Astyanax mexicanus: one gene and its partner. The protein of the gene in region 2 purifies or fractionates together with the protein of the main gene of each other region. This does not show direct contact. Links are inferred from orthologs where the notes say so. Each region holds a gene or a part of one and is shown on either strand. Other genes may lie near its edges.

The links.
Region 1: the proteins of nploc4 (region 2) and aspscr1 purify together in Homo sapiens (affinity purification with mass spectrometry; 3 studies listed by BioGRID and IntAct, with this or other methods). This does not show direct contact. The link is inferred for Astyanax mexicanus from reciprocal best matches to the Homo sapiens genes NPLOC4 and ASPSCR1.

The regions. Positions count from the first base shown.
Region 1 is NC_064423.1:30,503,386-30,507,143, forward strand, and holds the start of aspscr1 (tether containing UBX domain for GLUT4), read left to right. Parts: upstream 1-920; 5' UTR 921-960; coding exon 961-1,050; intron 1,051-1,281; coding exon 1,282-1,337; intron 1,338-3,280; coding exon 3,281-3,395; intron 3,396-3,758. UniProt on the Homo sapiens protein: Tethering protein that sequesters GLUT4-containing vesicles in the cytoplasm in the absence of insulin. Modulates the amount of GLUT4 that is available at the cell surface. Enhances VCP methylation catalyzed by VCPKMT.
Region 2 is NC_064422.1:46,559,258-46,563,015, forward strand, and holds the start of nploc4 (nuclear protein localization protein 4 homolog), read left to right. Parts: upstream 1-1,070; 5' UTR 1,071-1,197; coding exon 1,198-1,212; intron 1,213-3,758. UniProt on the Homo sapiens protein: The ternary complex containing UFD1, VCP and NPLOC4 binds ubiquitinated proteins and is necessary for the export of misfolded proteins from the ER to the cytoplasm, where they are degraded by the proteasome.

The sequences.
Region 1 (3,758 bases), on a different chromosome or scaffold from region 2:
TTTTTCATATTAATTATTTACATATATACATAAACACATATACAGCTAAGAAAGTCATGTTATATTTATCTGTATAATTTATATACAGTCAATTTTTGATTAGGTAAGTTTTCAGAGCTGCTGTGTATTTAATATACAGTATATTTGTGATTAAGTGATTCTCAGAGCTGCTATGTAGTTAATATACAGTATATTTGTAATTAAGTGAGTCCTCAGAGCTGCTGTATAGTTAATATACAGTATATGTGTGATTATTTGAGTTCTCAGAGCTGCGGTATAATTAATATACAGTATATCTGTGATTAAGTGATTATCAGAGCTGCTGTATAATTAATATACAGTATATGTGTGATTAAATGAGTTCTCAGAGCTGCTGTGTAATTAATATACATTATATTTGTAATTAAGTGAGTTCTCAGAATTTTTGTATCATTGATATACAGTATATGTGTGATTAGGTGAGTTTTCAGAGCTGCTGTATAATTAATATACAGTATATATGTGATTAAGTGAGTTCTCAGAGCTGCTGTGTAATTAATATACGTTGTATGTGTGATTAAGTGAGTTCTCAGAGCTGCTGTGTAATTAATATACGTTGTATGTGTGATTAAGTGAGTTCTCAGAGCTGCTGTATAATTAATATACAGTATATTTGTGATTAAGTGAGATTTTAGAGCTGCTGTGTAATTAATATACAGTATGTGTGATTAAGTGAGTTCTCAGAGCTGCTGTATAATTAATATACAGTATATTTGTGATTAAGTGAGATTTTAGAGCTGCTGTATAATTAATATACAGTATATTTGTGATTAAGTGAGTTCTCAGAGCTGCTGTATAATTAATTTACAGTATATTTGTGATTAAGTGAGATTTTAGAGCTGCTGTGTTTGAAGGATGAGGGTGTCTCAGCTCTGCTTCACATAAAGTTGCTTCAAACAAACACGGTGACGTCACTCTGCAATGGCAGCCAGCAGTACTGCAGTGTCAGTTCTGAGCCCGAACGGACGGAGACAGACCGTTAAAGTCTCCCCAAACACACCTTTACTGCAGGTAAAGAGCTCAGAGAAAGGCTCGGTTTATAAACACCGCGGTGCTGGCCTGTGTTCAGAGAGAAGGGCGCTGTTTATGGCTGTCTATCTGAACAATGGCTGCTCAGTTAGCCTAGCCTAGCTTAGCTGCTAGCTAACCTAACGTTAGCTGAGCGCTGAGAGAGAGAACTGTCTCTGAAACAGATGGAAAAGAGGGAAAACTGATTAATTCTTGTTTATTTTACCTCTGCAGGTCCTGGAGGAAGTCTGTAAGAAACAGGGATTCAATCCAGACGACCATGGACTCAAGTGAGTGCTTTAAAATGCTACATAAATGCTAATAAATGCTTAGGTGAGCTACTTAGCTATTTAGTTACATTTTCCCTCTATGGCATGAGTTAAAATATTTTTAGGAGTCCCTGTGGATATAACCGATATCAATTTCTGTTTTGACTTTTGAAAACAACCTGGTAATTTCAATCAGTTCATGTTTTAAAGCAAAGAAGAACATGAGTGTTGTAACCCAGCTGTAACCTGATTAACACTGCCCAAAGGCAGCAAATGAAAATACACTGTTTTAGTAAGTTTCCAACAAGCATATCATAAAAATAAAACCAGCCAAATATACTTCTTTACTTATTCTTGCACATATACATATTTTTATTTATGACCCACTTGTATGTGTCATTGTAATGGGCATATAATATTATGTTATATATACATTATTATATTATATATAAACATAAAAAATACATAAAAAGAAGGTTCAATATGGTATAATCCAATAATCAGAAAAATGTTTCAGTTGGAGTCTTCTAGGTTAGCTAGCTTAGTAAACTGGGGTTACTGTAGTTATTGTACGGAATATTCCTAACATTTTTATAATTGTAACAAGGAACAGGGCAGTCAAAGTAAAAGTAATAAACTAGAACATTAAAAATATGTAGTAAAGTAGGAGAGTGCAAGTAGGAGTACAATAGTATCCAAGTAGAGTAGTACAGATATAGCATTCTAGCACTTTCAAGTACAGTAGTGAAGTAGTTGTACTTTGTTGCTATGCTTTTATAATACCAAAAATGGTACCAAAGTCTCATGAGAGAGTTCCTTGGGAGAGATTGATTTACTCAATGTGGTCTTGATTTAACTTTGCCTGCTTCAAGACTCTGTCTTTAACTCCAGTTCTACAGCGCATAAACAGAGTATCTGTCTTGACTTGGATAAAGCTGCTCTTGGTATTTGTCTTGGACCCTAACATGGTCTTCTTGACTGCTACAAAAGTCTTGGTCTTGACTCCAACTCAGTGTGCTCCAATCGTGGTCATGACTTGGACTCGGTATGTCACATTCTTGGTCTTAACTTGGTCTTGACTGCTTTAATGTCTTGATCTTAGCTCTGTCTCAGTCTTAGCTTTGACACAGTATTAACTACTACAATGTCATATTTGTTCTGTCCAAGTGTCAAAGACTTGCTGAGTCTCAGTCTAGATATTGGCACAGTGTTATACACTACAGATTCTTGGATTCTTTTGACTCTAAACATACTCTCTGTTTATACTTAGACTTGTTCATTACAAAAACTTTGTTGTGAATAAAACTCAATATTGCGTTATCTCTTTTTTTTTTTGATCTATTGAATAGTCCCACATGACTATTGAAAATTGCAAAATCCTAGTCTTAACCTGGATTTGTTTATCACAAATTTGTGGTCTTAAATTAAATGTTTCCTGTTGTTAGTTTTAATCTGACTTGAGTGATACACAGTCTTGGTCTTTACTTGGACTCAGCTACTAGTCTTGCTCTTGATTCATGGTTGATGTGTTCCAACTTGGCTCTAATGGCCTTAAATACAACAGTGTAAGCTGGACCACAATTTAAAGAATTAGAGATGTTATAATTTTTTGTTTGTGGCTATATGTATATGACTGTATTACATGTGAATACACTGAACAAACAGCCGCATAAAAAGTTTAGTACAGTGTGTCTAGTATTTGATATATAAAGAGGGTTAAATCAATGCCAGGTCAACACAGTCTCCCTCAGCTGCTGCCTGTATAGCCATTGTAAGCCAGCCTCTGGACACAGTCATGTGTAAAGGTGCTTCCAACACCTGTTTGAATTGAATGGTTGTGTTTGTGATGGTCAGTGAGTCACACGTCATGAAGCTGCAGAGGTTATCTGCTGCTGGTGTCTGTCCTTTGTGCTTAGAGTGCTTTGTGTTCTCCCCCTAACTCTGTGTGACTCTTTTATCCGCAGGTTTCAGAGGAATGTGCTGGATCTGACACTGCAGTGGAGGTTTGCCAGCCTGCCAAATAATGCCAAGCTGGAGGTGGTGCCAAGTACCCGGCAGCTGGGAGGGACAGAGAGCACGGTGGGTTATTAGATCAGTGTTGATTGCCAATGTGAGTTATTTGGCTGGAGTATAGGGACAATCATGGATTTGGAAGCAACAAAGATGTAACATTATCACTGACAACCTTTTTCTGATATCTGTCACAAGTGATCTGATCACAAGTGGAGAGCAACATGCATCTTTAGTGACCACTTGTGATTAGAAGATATCTTTCATGACACTGTCGCTATTGAAATGAAATGAAATGAAATGCTGCAGGTATAAATATAAAATTTATATTCTCTATCATTAAATATTGTATAGATTTAAATGTGGTTTACTTATGCTTATCAGACTTTACAATTCCCTGTGCCTTTTATACACAATAGAATTAATTGTGAA
Region 2 (3,758 bases):
TTTTTATTTCAACTAGACATAAATGCTTACCCAACTTAAACACAAACAAGCATTTTATTGGAGAATTAAAATACAAAGCAGACGCGCACACACAATGTATTCTAATTATATATATATAGGTAAGATAAGATAAGATAATAAGATGAGATAAGATAATCCTTTATTAATCCCACAATGGGGAAATTTGCAATGTTACAGCAGCACAGAGGAAAGGACATAGACACAGGTCAGGAATATATATGTAAACAAATAATAATAAACTGTATATACAAAATGTTACAGAAAAAATAAAAAATACTACAAATATAATAAAGGAAAAAATATATACATCTAGTGCAGCTAAAATAAGGTCAGAGGAGATATGATTTAATGTAAACTGGAGATATATATCCTCCTGACACCCGGACTTTAGCTTGGTGTGCATTTTTAATTTCTTCTATCTATTCAGGAGTACTTAACATGTATAAAAAATATAGAAACGTAACTTACTCTTTGTATAGGAAGCATTTTTTGCAAAAGGACCCAGAAGGACCCAATTAACCTAGTATAACCTAGTTTCAAACTTAAAAATCTATGATATTTTTTACCTGGCTGTAGAAACTTTTGCCTGGGATTCTCGCCATCTTGTTTTTAATCAGTTAAGTATAATGTTGTCATGTGACCCCTAAATAGTACTGGCAGTGTCTCCATATAAGGCTAAAGGGTCAACGTTTGAAAAAAAAAATAAGAATAATGGTGCAGAGAAGCAGGAATGGAATATCCTCATATGTGGACGCTAGGTCTCAAGAGGATATACCAGTTTACATTAGAAAAATATAAAAAATATATATATTATTTCATGTATTTTCTACATTGTAGATTAATAATAAATATATAAAAACGAATGCGAGACACATATATAATTCTGTAGTAAAGAGTAAAAACGTGTTATTCCTCCACATTAATCCCCTGATCTAAACCTGATGAATTGAGATAGTGATTTAATTGGGATGAGCTGGGATGACACACTACATATGCGCCCTAGTGAGTGAGCGAGGGCGGGTATTGGAGCGCGGCCGGGCTGAGCTGAGTTATGGAGCGGAGTGAGCGGCGGCCCGGTGCTGTAGCGGTGCTGTAGCGGAGAACTCACCGACCCTGCTCTCCCAAACTTCCGCGGCTCTGAGAGAGGAACCGGGGGTCACGGGCCCGGTGATAAACATGGCGGAGAACATCGTGAGTAGTCCTTTATTCAGGGTTTAATCTTGTATAACTACTGATCAGATAAACAGCAGAACCGCGGAGTTATCTGAGCTCAGCGCGCAGTGATGAGGCAGCAGAATCTGTAGCTCCGTGCTAACAGGCTAACACTGCGGGCCTGGAAGCGAGCCGGTGCTGCGCCAAATCGTGCCGCCCTACCAAATCGTGCTACCCTAATGAATGTACATTTAGTTATTAACATATTTAGTTAGCTACATTTAAAACTTAAGTTAGAGGACAGTTCAACTAACTTAAAGTCTGATTAGCCTGGGTAAAAAACTTAAATATATGTATAGAAACTGTTTTTAATAGTCTTTTTGTTTAGTTTTAATATATAACAATATCTGACAGATAAAGTAAAATATGAGAAAGATCAATAAAACCAACAATCTAACACACAGACCCCCCCTCCCATATATAGATATATTCATATACATGCATATATACATACATACATACACGCATACATCTTAGTTATTAAATGTTATTAAACATTTCGTCTAATAGTTTTTGTCCAATACAGTGCAATTTTTTTTGCATTTGCAAACATAAGGTCAAAAAAGTCATCTCAATCTTAAAGTAATTATGATTTTTCCTATATATACCTAATAAGAACAACTTAGGATCTAATGTAAGAGATTTTGGTATAATCAGGTCACTTGCGTTTCTTATATCTTCTCAAAAATCTTACATTTTTGTGTTTTTTTATTAATTGTTTATTATTACTGTGACTTTATAAACGAAAGAACGAAAGATTTATTATTAAAAACACAGTAAAACCTTTAAACAAAAATAACGTGGATCAGCGCATGCGCAGTGCCGGTAGCACGCACATACTGATGGGTAGCACAATTCGACATAACACCTAGACTCAGAGAGGGGTAAACTGAGTAACTAACGCTAGCTAACGTTAGCTAAACAGTGAGTGAAGCTGTGGCTAGCTAAGTAAATAACTGAGGGAATCACACACATATTTAACACGAGATAATCATATAAATGTGATAGATTAAAGGTGATGGGTCGTGGTGTGCTGAATAAAGTTGGCAGGTTGTGGAAAATTCCGCCTGACAAAGAGAAACTTCCAGATCTACTGTAGCTACAGAAACTAAACTAACTACAGTACTGATGATTTACTGCATTATCTCAGTGTATTTAACTCATTTAAATAAAAAGCACCCCACAATATATATCTAATATAACCTGTTATCTAGCTACAATATATATCTGAATATTTATTTACAGGTTGTCTGTTTAAGCTAGCTAAGCTAGTTTTGTCCATTTGTTAGCTAACATAACTCTGACACAACACCACTTACAACTAACTAGCTACTGTTACTGATTACTACTGTTACTGTTACTACTAGCTACTGTTACTGATTAATAAGGCTTTTTATCTATTTACCTATTTATAAAGCGTAATAATCGTCTAATATAATCCTTTCAACCATGTAAATTAATCACAAAAGCTCCTATAAAAGGCTGACACAGAGAGAGTCAGATCTGAACTAAAGTACTGTTTATTTACTGCAGTTATTCAGCATATTTAGCTATTTTAGATACAAATCACCACAGTGTATATTTAATATAATCTGTCATCTGCACATATGCCTGAATGTGTTTTTACAGACAGTCTGCTTCAGCTAGTTAACTAGTCAATTTATTGGCTAGTATAACTCTGACACAGCGTTTACAGTTTTTAGTTAACTAGCTTCTGTTACTGTATAATAAATTTAGTTATCTATTTAGCCATTTATAAAGCTTAAAATCATCTAATAAAGCCATTTCAACAATATATATTATTTGCAAAAAAACACTTATTAAGGCTGACACTCAGAGAGAGTTAGATCTGAACTGCAGTACTGTTTATTTACTGCATTAATTCAGAATTTCTTTAGATACAGACATACTTGTAGTAACTACATCTCTCTGAATATTCACTTACAGGCTGTCTGTTTTAGCTAAGCCAGTTTTAGTTTTAGCTCTTTTAGCTATGCCAGTTTAGTCCATTTGTTAGCTAGCATAAGTCTGACACAACACTAGTTACAATTACATGTGCAGGTAATAAAACTGATTAATAAAGATATTTATCTATTTGTAAAGCTTAATAATCATCTAATAAAACAATGTAAATTCTTCACAAAAAGCTCTTATTAAAGGCTGACCGTGAGAGAGTGCCATATCTAAACTACAGTACTTTTTATTTACTGCATTAATTTAGCTTATTTAGGGTGAATTAAAACTTCTTTAAATACAGGCATACATCTATCTAACTACAAAATCTCTCTGAATTTTCAGTTACAGTATGCCTGTTTTAGCCATCTAGCTTAGCTAAGCTAGTTTAGTCCATTTGTTAGATAGCCTACACCTGACATGACTAACCTAGAATTAGCTTAGCATAGCTAACCTGTGTTGACATCAGTTACAGTTAACTATTACTGTATAATACATAACTTATATATTATTTATCTAGATAACTATTTTGCCTTTTAAATGTTCTAATATAGCTACAGCCTCTAAATAAC